Drosophila melanogaster: one gene and its partners. The gene in region 2 interacts genetically with the main gene of each other region. Each region holds a gene or a part of one and is shown on either strand. Other genes may lie near its edges.

The links. Genes that interact genetically often act in the same process or in processes that back each other up.
Region 1: of Abl (region 2) and Abi, changing one suppresses a phenotype caused by changing the other (phenotypic suppression), as found in Drosophila melanogaster (2 studies listed by BioGRID).
Region 3: of Abl (region 2) and Nrt, changing one enhances a phenotype caused by changing the other (phenotypic enhancement), as found in Drosophila melanogaster (2 studies listed by BioGRID).

What each region holds. Positions count from the first base shown.
Region 1 is NT_033777.3:14,118,752-14,124,231, forward strand, and holds Abi (abelson interacting protein), read right to left. Parts: upstream 3,670-5,480; 5' UTR 3,527-3,669; intron 3,499-3,526; exon of another isoform or gene 3,362-3,498; 5' UTR 3,351-3,361; coding exon 2,995-3,350; intron 2,719-2,994; coding exon 2,096-2,718; intron 2,035-2,095; coding exon 1,944-2,034; intron 1,872-1,943; coding exon 1,860-1,871; intron 1,722-1,859; coding exon 1,534-1,721; intron 1,478-1,533; coding exon 1,314-1,477; 3' UTR 511-1,313; downstream 1-510. Other genes in the region: twf (twinfilin), read left to right, coding at 3,961-3,985, 4,045-4,122, 4,224-4,999, 5,284-5,436.
Region 2 is NT_037436.4:16,644,862-16,649,474, forward strand, and holds the start of Abl (Abl tyrosine kinase), read right to left. Parts: upstream 3,022-4,613; 5' UTR 2,283-3,021; coding exon 1,949-2,282; intron 1-1,948. UniProt on the Drosophila melanogaster protein: Arm and Abl proteins function cooperatively at adherens junctions in both the CNS and epidermis; critical for embryonic epithelial morphogenesis regulating cell shape changes and cell migration.
Region 3 is NT_037436.4:16,764,056-16,769,081, reverse strand, and holds the start of Nrt (neurotactin), read right to left. Parts: upstream 3,011-5,026; 5' UTR 2,542-3,010; intron 1-2,541. UniProt on the Drosophila melanogaster protein: May mediate or modulate cell adhesion between embryonic cells during development.

The sequences.
Region 1 (5,480 bases), on a different chromosome or scaffold from region 2:
TCCAATAATTGTTCACAAATAAAGGTATTTCCATATTTATGTATGTATAGTTGAGGGGCCCAAAAAGTGGGCAACAATTTAGCACATTTTATGCAAATCATGCCAGCACTCCACTTTTTTCTGGCATTTCCGCCACGTCAACTCCTCGAAACCTGATAATAAATTTAGCAAATGGGTAAAAAACCTTCCACATATCACCACGAAAGCATTAATTTACCCGGAGCCGAGTTATGGAAAAGTTTTCCGGGACGAGACATTGAATTGAAATCGGTTTGTAGAGCAAAGTGTCGATTATAATGGATTGATTGACTGACTGAATGACCCCAATGAGTGTTGGCATTTGCAAATATTTCAAGCCTTCCATCACACGACTTGAAATTTGCATTTGAGATTTCGAATTTGAATTTGGCAGGCCACAGAGCCTTGCCCCAATTACGGATTTTTACTGACATCCGGGGCTCGACTCACGAGAAGGTCAGCGCAAATTACACGGTCATAGAACAAGGGCTTGCGGTTTAGTAATTGAAATTTTTATTAGCTATTATTTTTACCATATAGAGCGTATGTGTACTTGTATTGTTTAATTTAATTTGATTCCTTTGCTGGCAATTCCATTTTAACTAAACGTTCGCAAAAAAAAGACATCGTTGCGGTTCGTAAAAGTATAAACAAAAGTTCCAACTGGCCAATACTTAAGTATTAAATGCTAACTGAAATTTATATAACCTACAGTATTGCTGGGGGCATAGGTTCGGGTAGTATTGGTGTATAATAGCCGGGCATATCAAAGCGCAAGGCAAACAGAAATCGCTTGATAAAACTGTGAGCAAATATTTAAAGTATTTGGATTGGCGGCAGGAGCAGGACAGAATTCGTCTACGGTTGTGGAACAGTTTTATAATATCGCATAAGTTATTCACGGGTATCCGGTTTCACTTTCCCCTTCTTGCATCGTTTTCGGCTACTAAAGTGTAAATAGTTTTAGTTGGGCAGCAAGCGGTATCCCTAGCCCGTGGATTCTGTGTGTTTGTGTGCTCGTTTATATTAGACTAAATGCGGTTGGCTGATGCTAATGGAATTCGCTTTCTCTGGCCTGCTGTGCTTGTGTAGGTGTGTAATTGTATAATTGTCCTTATTAATATGCTCAAAATCTTATCGTCATTGTCAGCTGAGTCTGTTGCGGTCCTCAGTCTAACTCTCCGATAACTGAATTGAAATTTTTTGGAGCTCTTGAGAAGCAGCAGAGGACTGGAACAGACCAGATGATGCAGATTATTGTAATGGTTGGCATGTTTAGAATATCGATGCGAGGCTTAGACACAAGGCTCTACGTAGTTGCCCGGAAACAGACCGGTAACACCATCCATGACGCCCTCCCACCAGCCGTCGTCGTTTTTCTTGAGCACGTACAGCACTGAGCTTTCCTGGAAGCTCAGCTCGTCGTCCTTGTCGGCATAGTAGTCGTAAATGGCTACCACTGGAATGTTTGTAAGAATTAGTAAGGTATATTGTTAGTTGCTCCAATCAGCCTACCCTTCTCAATGAAGTTCTTGGGCACCCAGCCGGGTAAGTTCTGATCCTCGGGCACTATGGGCGCCAGCTGCGGTCCCGTCGATGTGCGTGGTCGTCCGAAGTCTTGATGCTCATCCTCCGGCGGCGGCGGAGGTGGCAAGGGAGGCGACTGTGAGCCGGGACGAGCGAAGTTCAAGCTGAAGTGATTCCTTTGGAAAAATACGCGTTTAATATACAAGATAACATATGAATTTCATGGAGTTATACACAGTACAAACACGAAAACCTAGTATAACTTTTTTTAGCTGAGTATAACCCTATGATAAACAGAGAAACATGCAATTTACCTATTTGGATTCCTGGATTTGCACAGAGAACAATAAATAGGTTATATTTACACAAAGAAGGGATTGCATTTTCCAGAAACTTACCTGTTGATATTGCGTCCCAAAGTGTGCATGCCAATGTGACTCTGCTCGGTCATCTCGTGCTGCGAAACCGTAAGTGGTGAAGGAGGAGCTGCTACGAATTGCAAACCGCATTATTAGTATTGAGCTATTGCAGAATAATCAAATTAACTCACGTGGCATGCTGCTGCGATCGTCGTACGTAGTGGGCGGCGGTGGTGGCAGCGATTGCATCATGCCCGCGGAGGGCAGGTTTACATGTGTGGCTATCTGCTGGCTGGGTGGCATCGGAAGTGCACTGTAGCCAGCAGCTCGTTCATTGCCCGCCGCTCCGCCGCCTGTGGTGGTGGTAGTCATCGTTGAAGAAGCCGTCGACATTCGCTTTGGATGCCCAATAGGATAGTTGGGAGCGTAGTGCGATGGCACCTGTGGTGGATTGACCACAGGCGGAGTGCGGTACTCCCGCGAACTCTTGCCCAGTGTCCCGGTATTGCTGACCGACTTGCCCAGTGTGCCAGTGTTCCCAGCTCGCGACATCTGCGGCGGAGTTGGGGGCTTCGTGGTTGGCGGAGGTCCCACCGACGGCGGCAATAAGGATTGCACGGACCCATGGCTGGAGCCCCGATGTTTCTGTCGCACCTGCGAGTGCTGGGCCGAGTTAATGCCGTGGCCAATCTCGTCCAACATCGAGTAGTCGATGGGCTTGCGCACATACTTGATGGGCTTCTCCGGATTGATGGGCGCCACGATCTTAAACTGGCGCGAGCTCACCTTGTTAGCCGTAAGCACGCCAATCTCTCTGAGAAAAGACAATGAAGATAATCAAAAATAATTAATACAAATAAAGTGAATTGAAAAAACTAAATAGTTATGTAGGAAAAGAATGAAGAAAGAGACGTTCAGTCTTATCAGCACGTCTGACGACGCATGTATGAATGTACATTTCTTCTCTATGAAGCTTTTATCACCGATGAGTCGTACTTACAGACAAAAATGTTCATTCCGTATTCTTTGTCGTTTTAAAATATGCATATCCCCTTTTCCTATTCTAGTTTAAGCAATTTGTTGTTCTTACCTCCTGGCCACCTTCTCCTTGTGGATATGCACCGTCTGGGCGATGTGGTTCATCTGGGACTCCATCTCGCCGAGCTGCTGGGCCTGAAGCTCGAGGAGCTGCATGTAGCTATAGGCGAGCGTGTTAATCTGGTAGGCCACGCTGGCCAGCGACTGGGTGGTGTAGTTCTTGGTGGCCTCCAGGGCCGCCTTCTTGTTGTCCGCGCGGTAGTAGGTGTCCTCGCAGTAGTCGGCCACCCGCTCCAGGTTCGTGTAGCTGTCCCGCAGACTCTGGCGGCCATCGGGGATCTCGGTGCGTATCAGAGAGGCTAGTTCGTCCATGATGTTCTCGCTGGCCATGGGGGTTTCGGTCAACATGGGTGTGGATGCTGCGGGCAAACGGGAAACGAAAACCCAATTAAATTCCTCGCTTTTCCGCACTTTTCACGCCCGTAAACATTTGGGGCGTGGGCTGGCCTCTGCCGACGTCGACGCCCAGCTGCTCCAGTTGATCGCTGGAGCGGTTTAATCGGACGAATCTCGCGTGCACTCACTTTATTGACTATGCGATTGCACAACAGATGCTTTTCCGGGCTAGTTGCTACGTTTTAAATGCAGTTAAATGCAGTTTTTCATTACATTTTCCGTGAAAAAAGAAAGAACGCTGGCCTGTGCTGCAAAGTACTGGAGCTTGAAGAATTTTTCAACACTGTATCAGTGCAGACACATTTGGTATTATTTTTGAAATGTATGTTCTATAAAACAGAGTGTTAAAAATTTTCCCAAAATTTAGTTATAAAAATAGCATTACAGTATCTTTTTAATTAATAATTCTTTTTTTTTTACACATTTAAAGCCGCTTTGAAGTGATTGCCAATCAGAATCGGTACATATTTCCCGGTTTAGTATTTCCCTACTCGCGCTTTGCGGTCACACTGGTTGTGAGTAATATATTTTTTCGGCAATATTAATTTTAGCTGTTGTCCAAATGTCTCACCAAACGGGTATCCGAGGTTTGTTATCTTTGGGAACCACCTAATCCGCATCCTTAGAACACCCTTTGTATTTTCAGCCAACGAGCAGCTGGCCAAGGTGTTCGGCAAAGCGAAGAATGGTAAATTTCGCGTGATAAAAGTTTCGATCGAGAATGGTGAGTGGATTTAATCCAGAAACGTATATACACAAGATATATACTAGGCATACGATTTGATAACGAACCCGCATCCGTTTTCACCCCGCCCCAAATTACAGAGCAGCTTAGTTGCGGCGCCACGGCGGAGACGAAAAAGGATTGGGAGCGCGACTACGACAAGCTTATAGGTCCCCTACTGGAAAAGGATGTGCCCTGCTATATTCTCTATCGCCTGGACGCCAAGATCCCGCTGGGCTACAGTTGGCTACTTATCAGCTGGACGCCGGACACGGCCAGCATCCGACAGAAGATGGTATACGCTTCCACGAAGGCCACGTTGAAAACGGAGTTCGGATCAGCATACATCACAGAGGAGCTGCATGCCACCACTCTGGATGAGTGCACGCTGGAGGGCTATCGCCGGCACAAGCAGGATTTCGCAGCCCCAGCTCCATTGACCAGCAGGGAGGAGGAGCTGAAAGAGCTGCGAAAGACAGAGGTTCACACTGAGATCAATACGAATACGCGGCACCAAACTCTGGGTGGGATCAATTGCCCGCTGAGCGAGGCAACCGTGGCTGCCGTTCAGGATTTGGTGCGCGGCAAGCACGACTACCTTCAGTTCCGCATCGATCTGGAGGAGGAACAGATCCATGTTTCGCGTGCGGCCAAAGTGGAGCTCGCCGATCTGCCGAAGCAAGTGCCCGAGGATCATGCACGATACCACCTCTTCCTGTTTCGGCACACGCACGAGGGCGACTACTTTGAGTCGTACGTGTTCGTCTACTCCATGCCTGGATATTCCTGCTCCGTGCGCGAGCGCATGATGTACTCAAGCTGTAAGGCTCCTTTTCTCGACGAGCTCGCGGCCCTTGGCGTGGAGGTTGTTAAGAAGGTGAGTTGATATGAATGCGAGTGGGTGTGGCTGCGCTAATAGCACTAAAGATTAGGGCTATAAAAAGCAAAAGCAGGGTATATATTGTTTGTGATTTATTTATTGCTTTCAAATCGCCACATTCACTATACTTTTGATTCACGATCTCTAGAAATATTTTGAATCATAATTAGGGCGAATGTCTCACTTTTCACTTGAAATAGAAATCTGTAAATCATAAATAATGAGTAATTTTAAATCATACTAAATCTGATTCATGTTTCTAACAACGTTTTACATTTCAGCTTGAAATCGACAGCGGCAGCGAGCTGACCGAAGCCTTCTTGCAGGACGAGCTGCACCCAAAGAAGATTCTACACCGACCGGCTTTTGCCAAGCCCAAGGGGCCACCAAACCGAGGCGCCAAGCGCCTCACGCGTCCCACCGCAGAGGACTAAGTCTGAATCCCGATCCCACCGAGTCAATTCTGTTTATCGCCCTT
Region 2 (4,613 bases):
TCTACAGCTTATTGTAAATCATCTGGGAAAAGTGGCTCAGCTTGGAGTGCCAAGGAAAAATCAATACTTTGGCCAAGCCATTCGTTTGGGAGATGAATAGTTTGCAAAAGGAAGTATTTACATCAAAAGTTAAAAAGTAAAATAATAAAGGATTAAATTTCAATTTTCGAACTTAAGCAAATTTATGGATTTAATACATTTAGGAACAGATTGTCGCGCGTGTAAATATCAAAACTCGGAAAAGTCCACTTTCAGTTTGAAACAGCTGTTGCGAAAATGGCTTGCAATTGTCAGGGGAATAAGGCAACACGATTTCAAGTTAAAAAACTACCTTACTATTAATACGACCCTCGTCATGTATTCTCATACATAGTTATGCTTTTTGTTAAAAAAAAAGTTCTACCACTGAGTCTGCGTAACTATTATAACCTGACAAATGTTTTTCCGGTAGTCTTGAGAAAATCCCGAATGCCACCCGATTGTGGGTCCTATTGTGGTAGGACTTCGTCGACATGGACATAAAAAAGCTATTAGAAACGGCAAATGTCTCCCAATAAGTGGGTGTGCGGAAAATGCGGAAACGGGGAGGATGTAAAGAAAAAATTATGCAGCTTGGCAGGGCAAATAATGGAAAAGTATTAGACAAAAAAATGAGGCAAATAAAAATGTGCGTGAGTGCGTGAAGGGCAGGAAAAATGCAAGGGGAAATGCGGAAAAGTGGAGGAAATGGCAATATGTCAGCGGGGGTGGGATAACGGTGTTGTGGGTCGCAATTTCAACCACTGTGCGGGTGGCAGGGATAAGGGTGCCACGAGGAAGGCCGAAGGATAAAGGATGATGGAGAGCACGAATGCGGATTGAAACCGCCCCAAGCAGCACAAAAACAACAGCAACGCGTGCTGCTCTCTCTCTTTTCTCTTCTCTCCTTCACTTTTCTTTCTCATTCATTCTCCTTCTCTCCAGTAAACAAAAGCAGCGGAAAAGCAACAACAAGTATGAAACTAGCCGGCAATAACAACAATAATTTCCTATATAATCGGAAGAAATGGAGGAAAAAAGAAATTGGCTCAATTGGAAAGCAGCGTATATAGAGGAAGGGCGGGGATCATAAAGAAGGAGAGAGGGGGAAAGGGAAAGCCGAGTGGACTGCACTTTATGAACAATAAATACAACACTGTGCAGCCCAAACTGGCAGATAAATCAAAACTTACATGATATTTACAAAAGAGATTTAATGGCAAGAGCACGCTTAAAAAAGCATTTTTTTATTGAAAGTACCCCCATTGAATAAGTTTTTAGTTACTGATTTCTTGAATGTCCTTAAAAACTGTTGTATGGAATATCAAAAGATTTCATCACGAATTGAAATGATTGTGGTGGATGTGAGATAACACAACTCTGAGCAATTGGCAATACAGCAACAACAATTTCCATGTATAATAAGAAAAGTCACAATACTATGATGGAATTTACACCTGAGTTTGGAGGCTGCATGCAATTTTTTACAATTAGTGTGTAAGTGAATGGGACCTCCAAATGTATGCATGTTTGTGCATCCTCTGACTTTTATATGTATGTTACACAACACTTATACAGATCGATTTGGTCCAGATGATTTCTACGATTGATGCCTTTTTAACTCAAACTACAATGTGCAAGAAAATAATTCTAAGATCCAATGTAAAAGAAGAAACACCAATGAGAAATAAGTCAAGCTTACAGAAATCGAAACACAAAATGATCAAACCACTAAATAACTTCGAATAGAAAACAAAATTTTAGTGCACACCTAATTTTATAAAAACGATTTTGATTGAGCGTGCACTATGTACAGACGTTTTTCGTTTAATTTGACTTAACAAGGCTTTCAAATTTTGAAAATATGCTTTTTGCTCTGTGTACTTAGCATGCTTTCGATGCCTGTTTTCCAACACTTGCAGGAACTTACCGTTATGCTCGGTGAATATGTTGAGACCCACGGTGGGATTGCAGCGTGCATCCTTGTGTCCGCCACTACGCTGGCTCAGCCCCGATCCGGATCCGCCACCGCCTCCGCCCGATCCGCTGCCACTGGCCACGCCGGAGGACGAGGACTTGATGCGGGAGCCACGGAGCGTGGAGCCCCCGCCGAGGGGGGCGCTGCTGACGCCGCTGGAACTGGAGATGCAGTGGGGGGAAACGGAGGCCACTGGGCTGCTGGAGAGGCCGATGCAGCTGACGGGGGCCCCCGAGCCGCCTCCTCCCGAGTGGGCGCCCCTGTCCTTGCCCTGCTGAGCCCCCATTTGCCAGTGGGTGGTTGGGTGGTTTTTCGCTCTTGCGCAGCAACAACAACTTGTACACTTTTCTCTCTCTTCTCTCGGCTCCTGCTGCTACGGCTTATTCGCTTACTACTACTACTTATTATTTGCTTTGCTTTTCTTGTTATATACTTCAGCTTTAACTCTTCTCTCTTGGCCTTTTGCTCAATTATTTGCCGTTTTGCCTTTTGCTTTGCTTTAATTTATTTCACACACACACACGCACACATTTTTCTTTCTCTTTCTGCGTTTTTGGAGTAGACAAAAAAGATTGGAGACACTCACGCACACACAGAAGTACACACGCACGGAGGAAAAAGGAAGTTTGCGATTTATCTGATTTGTTGTTCTAGTGGCCGCTCAGGTGCAATTGCGAATTTGCAGCATGTTGGTAAAATGTTGTGTCGGCAAACTTCTTGTCGACGGCTGGGAGGCTGGGTGAGCTTAACTGGCGAGGGGGGTCTCAAAAACACGCCCTGAAAATGCACTTTGTCTTGCGCCTCCGCCTCTGGCTTCACCTCTCTCTCTTGCTTACGCTCGCCTGCTCTGTTTTTTACGGTTTAATTGATCCGCAGGCTGATCCGCTGAACATGGCAAATTAATCGGTTTTCGCGACGATATAGCTCTATCTGATCTGCTAGCGTTGCTTGCTGATTTATCTACATCTGTGCATTTTTTCCACGCACCGCGACGGATCGAATTGGAATCCAACTTGCACTCGTGTGACCGCTTGTCGGTCGTTTAAACATACCCTACTTGGCAGCATACCGATAGACGTATCGATATTGATAATAAATGCTTAGTACTTACGAACGCGTTGGCAGCGCTAGTTTGGTAAGAAACTCGGCTAATGCAATATGATGGGTGCGCGACACGGACTGGTTGGGTGGTTAACTTAGCTTAGTAAGCCAGTGCTTAAAAACTCCATGATTGTGAACACTAATTTTTGGTTGTTCAAAAAAAAATTAAATTCAAACGTTTAAAACACATAATTTGAATTAAAAGAATCTTGATATAGCTTTCTAGGAAAAGTTTATTCTCTTTAGATTTTCAATGCAATGCAACTTATAACATTATCTTTAATTTTTCATGGATACACTTCGAATTTTTTCGACTATTGCGTCAACCCTAGTTTAGTTTATTGATTTTAAGAGAAAACTGACTCAAATCAAAATGTAATTGACATTTAAAAACATCGAATAATCAAGCTACGGTTTTTATAATATGCCTTTAGATGTATTCATAAATTCCCATTTAGCCCGACTAATAAATACAACTGCAATACTTTCCATCCTTTTCCGTTTGTTACGTTTTATTTATCCGTTGGTTTTGTTTAGCATTCTCAATCTTTAGTGTTCTTGCTTAGTTATTATTTAGTATGTATACCCGACAGAAATTTCAAGTTTGTTCGTTTCAATTTCTCTCTCCTGCTAGAGTTCAGTATCAATCGATCCTTCTCTCCATTCACACGATCCTCCTTCAGCTTCTGCTCCGATTTCATTTTCAGTTACATTTTCCTCGCTTACACTAAATTAACTTTTCAAGTAGGACTTTTGCTTTTCATTTTCTCGGTTTTGCTCTTTCACATGCGATCTCTTCTGTTCTGTTCGCTTACAAGTATAAATATAATTTAATTTTTCTCTGGTTATTATTATTTTACGTTCTTTTTTTTTTTTTTTTTTGTTACGTTCAAGGACTTTCTGTGGCTTTGTTAAGTTACCAAAAAGCAGCAAGAAATTTGAAGGAATATTCAAATGCATTTAACACAGGTTAACTAAATAAATGCCTTCCCCTAACAGAATCGAACTTTTTGTATTGCAGCATGACTGACACACTGGTTAAAACTATACTGACTGACTGGAATATATGTTAAAATTTCAAAAATATTTTATTGGTGACTATGACAATGCTTCGACTTAATCCAGTCAGTCAGCAACATTTTATCAGACGTCTTTTCGACTGTTATAAATATTGTTTGTTCTTACAGATTTGAAAACAGTTTATTACTTTACAATAACAATTTGCGCTCTGGATCTTGGAACAATAGACTAACTTAGTGTTTTGTTATTGGTTGGTATTCCGTTTTCACGTGTTTAATATTCCGTTAATATAGGTTTTTATAAATATATATGCGTATAGACTTAGAAGTACAAAGTTCTCAGACCCCAACTACAAGTGATTTTAGGAAAACAGTTCTCCAGTAAATCAAATTCAATTTCAACCAAAAATGCCTGTCGTTCAAGTATCGCAAACTGTGCGATATCCAAACTGAAGGCAGGAGTCTGATCCTTCTTGAGAATTTTAACTAAAATTGGG
Region 3 (5,026 bases), 120 kb from region 2:
TGCAACAAATGTTGAAAACCTTTAAAAATATACAAACTTGTTTGTTAAGAACTACTTGAGGACATACTATAATAATTCATAAGAAATATAAGACTGAATTTATTTCCAGTACAAAAGGGGCAGAAACCAGAAACCGCAAGACTCAAAGGTTTATACACGTGCGATGCGAATTCACAGTCGTCTCCCCTCATTTTATTTTGATGGATAACAATCTCCTGGGGCAGGTAGAGAGCGGAAACTGGTAAAGGGGCACAGAGTCCCACAAACCTCAAAGGATCAGCGGAAGGCGCCTAGTTCCAGGACAAGGGGATTGGCACAACAAAAATGGAATAAATGGAGTTTGGAGTGGGAAGAGCAAACAAAATCGGAACGAGATTTCCACTTCAAACAGGCCATTTTTATGAATTTGTAATTACTCTCGAGGGGCAAACAACTCTTGAAGATATGGGATAGGATAGCCCTGAGTTGCGTTGGTTGGTTCAATGTTTGTGCATACCGCGTACTCTTGGATTTGATGAGGTAGACACATCTTATATCTTATATTCAAGAATATTTGTTGGAGAATGTTATAACATTAACTGAGTGCATTGAACCACGAAGTTCCTGGTGCATTTAACCAATATTATGTATGCAATTAGTTGTTTCTTAAATGGAAGTACTGGGTATCTGTTAAGTCTGCATACACTGCCTTCCTCACAACTCATGGCTGTCCTTCCACTATATCATTCCATTTTATTGCACAATATTTTCTAGCACCACGTTGCCTTTTTCAGGCAGATAAGCGAAGATTTCCTCCGCGATAAGAACCCTGAGAATTCCTTGAAGCCAGGCTCCTTGCAGGGCCATTGGAATTGTCAACAACAAATATTTATGATTTGCGCTGGGGTTTCTTGTAACCCTCATTAGTCAATTGTCAGCAGCTCTTGAGGGGATTCGAGTTTTGGGATCGTATCGCAGCACTTGACTCTCAAGTTCTTATTGCTGATGGATTTACAATTTCCTAAATGAAAACTCCATTTTTGTTTAAACTGTTTGACCATGAACTCCAGATGTAAATAGCCGAGTTTTGTTTATCATTGAGAGCGAGAAAAAGTGTTGAAAATCGTGCTTTGTATTCTTGTTGCATTTGCCTTGTTGTGTTTTTCCTTAATTGTTGTTTACTTTTCGAGTGGAAAGCAGGCAACACTTACATAGGAACAACAATTTAAAATTGAATTGTAAAGACGAAAACTTTTGATTACACACATTTTGGGGTAAATTGGGAAAATGAGATACTGAGGCACACACATCAACATCATCATGTCGGCTCTTGTCTTTTGAAAACTTGGCAAAACAATGAGGGAAGTTGGAGCGAAAAGTCAATGGGCGGGGGAGTTGCCTCCATAAATCTCTTTCCGAATGCAAATGTTGCGTCAGCGTGGCATCTTCACGTTTTCCTACCCCATTTGTTGTGCCTCTGTTTGGCTTTGTTGATGCTTTTCTCACTTTTTAGTTGCTCGATTCCCCGGAAGTCTTTTTTTCTTTTTCTGGAGCGAATCGAAGAGCAGCAGCTGCCAACTCGAACTTTCTCTGAAGATCCCGGGAATTCGTGATCATTTCCATGCGCCTATTAATTCATCATTGAATTATTGCCCTTTTTCCCGGTATCCGTATCCCTTCAACAATTTCCTTTGCATTTGTTTACGGAATGACTATTTGGGGATTTATTCAAGCCGGCGTCTGACTGTGCATACAAATGATACCAAAGGGGTCGCGCTATTTTTGGGGCAACTCCATCCACCAAACTCTGGATGTTGATGGATTGAAATATCTGAGGATTAACACACATTATGTTTATGAAATGTTCAAAAGGATTTGTCAGGGCCGTGATTTATGTCAAATGGTTATGTTTTTCATACGGAGCCGCGACACAAGCCATTAGAAAGGATGGAAAATGGGAATTATTGAGGGAAAGAGTCCGTCTGATCATTGACACGAGCCATTAGACCTCAAGACGCGTAAGATGATGATGACGATGGGGTGGGTGTGCTTCGTTACGGAGGGATTATATCAATGAATCGTGAAGCCCCATTAATCTTATTAAGAGCTCGGAATGAAATGTTTTTCGAGACGCCATTTAAATTGTTTTGGTAAGATGTTTCCTCGGTAATTATGGATTGTGGAGGATTATAAATTAATTTAGAGCCGTCAAGATCGGATACCGACATATTTTAAAAGTTTTCAAATTAAGCTCTTATATCTTTTATCTTCTACTTTTCACAAATAACTCAGATTTCAATTGCTACGGCATTAGCGTTTTTCAATAAACTTTTTGGCCAAAATCTTTACATTTGTATAAAACTAAATAAATATGCATGTAAATTGTTTTATTCAATTATAATCACATTTTAATCTTTCAAGTTTGAAGTGTCCATATTCACTTGTTAAATTATTAAAGTTGGCAGACAAATTTGACTTCATTTACAATTCATCGATTTGTTTTCAACTGCTCTTCCTCTTCTACAAATCCCCGAGGTCCTTCACACGAATTTGTAATCTTACCTTTTTCAATTCTCGCAAACACTGTGTAAAATGTGTGTTGCTTTTTTCGAACTTGTTGAAATGTGGCAATTGGGAATAATCCGTTGGTCCTTGAAAACAGCGGGTGGCGTAAATGAACCCGATGTCCTTCCTGCAGGACACTTAGGTGTGTATAACAAACGCACAGATTTTTTGATTTGTTGCGGTTTTTTCTTTTCTCCGCTCCTTCGGCACAGAGCAAAACAAAATGCACAAAAGTAGTTGCGGTGTTTTTGTTAGATTTGTGTAAATATATTTCTTGCACTTAATACAACATACGATGCACAATAGGAATATAAAAAGTTATTCCTTGTTTGCGCCGAATTTGATTTTGTTTTCTTTTGGTCGCGTCTGTGCGGCGAGAGTGTGTGTGTGTGTGCGATGCGAAAGCGAGCACAACCGGAGCGAGGGAAAACGCGTGCGGCTTCCAAAACAGAACAAAACTGACTGACGCCGTTTCGATGTCATGCAATTCATGCGGCTTCGAAACGGTTAACAGAGTCTTAACAGCAACTGTTAATGTTAATTTTCTTGGATTTGTTTTTATTCGGGGAACTGGAAGTGGAACGTGTTTTCGGCGAGAACATGTTTCTCTCTTGAAAAAAAGAAAAAACATAATTTAAGATATAACTTGTAAGTTTATAATAGTATACAAATTATGTCAAGCAACAGTGATTAGCATTGAAAACACCTACACAACGAATTGTTGTAATATTTTATAAGTAATTTAATTAAACTTATTAGACATGATCATAATTCATGTTTATGATTTAGTTCGAACTGGACCACTGTGCACTGGAACTGGAAGCAGCCGGCATTGTAAATTTATAAATCATAGGGGTGGCTGGAAAGCAGCAGTAAAAGTAGCGGCTTTGTTTTCCTGTACAGTAAGTGCAAAATGTTCGATGGTGATTTTATGAAAAAGGTATTGTAGTTTTGGTAAAGCGTTTATTGTTAGTGAAACAAGACACCTCAGATATTATGATCAGATCAGATACTTTATAGAACATGTAGGAGAACATAGGGTAAAATTGTTATAAATTGTTCAAGTCAACACCCAAAACCCAAAGTAGAGGTATTACGTAGTCTACAGCTCTTTATAAATATAAAACTTAAAGTTATTAAAAATTTCTGAGTTGTACATGCTTCAAATAGAAGTAGATGCCGATCTCCCTATATTTCTTTGTTATTAATTTTTCTTAAAAAGAGAGGGAAGCTGGCAAGGGGAAGGGAAAGAAGTTTGTTGATATGGCACTTTTGTTTGAGTAAAGGTTTTGATTTCGGTTTTTGAAACTCGTTTTCAAATGCTTATCAACTGGCGGCAAGTGTTGAAGCGCAGTTTATGCCGATGGGAACATCTGGCATATGTAGGGAAATTCCACGTCCTGATGCGTCATTACAGCACAAACCCTTACCCTTGGCTACCTCCAACCCAACACCCCTTTTCGCATAGGGTTTCATATCCCTACCCCTGAGAAAATTCACTTATTTGGTAAGAAAGACAAAATATAATGATTCTTTCAATCAACTTTTGCGCAATGAAAACTATAAAGAAGATTTTAATGCATTTATTTTGAGCGATACGCAAATCAACAGAATGATTCATCCACAGTTATGAGAAAAACATACGTTGTTGCAGTTTATTTAATAAAGGGCACTCCCCCAGTATTATACTTTCAATTACTATATAGTATGTGCTCTATTTTATAAAAATGTTACGCTTATGATTTATGAGTAATCAACTAATGTAGGAGATATGTCTTCAGACAATTAGGCTACCCATTTAACTAAAGTGTTTGGTAAATATTTTTCAATATTTCAATATTTTCATTGTATACCTATGTATGTACATAGTTTAATATTTATATTGAACTTGTGTCGGTTGAATTATTAGAACAGAAGCCATGACGACACGTGCTAGAAATGTATTAGAAGTCGATTCCCCTGTTCTTCCAAAGGTATTACCCCACGGAATTCCTACCCACATGTCAACAACTTTCACGCCCCGAACTATGAGGGTTCCCTATTTCATTGTGGAGCTACTGAAGCATTTCATTAGACATGATGTTAGGCGACATCTGCTACCGAAAAAAAGGAATAAATATGGTAGGAAACTAGAAAATAAAAGTGAAGGTTGGCTCGAGTTACATACGTATTTGAGTTTGACGCATGCCCGTCACGTCGAAGGGGAAGGATCAAAATGATCGCATCGGATCATTATCATGATCGCAAATGGTAACGAGGAAACCCGCAAAATGTGGGACGCCCAAGGAAAGGAAGTGGAGTAGTGAACACATGTTCCTGTCTTGTGTGGGTTGTTCTTCGGATGGAATAATTAACAAGTTTAATTTAAATTTGAACCGGAAACGTGTGGAAACCGAAAACGAAGACTTCAAGAAATTCGAGGGAGTTCTGTTCTCTGCACCACTAACCCCACGATATGTAATTCAATCAAGCAATGATTCGG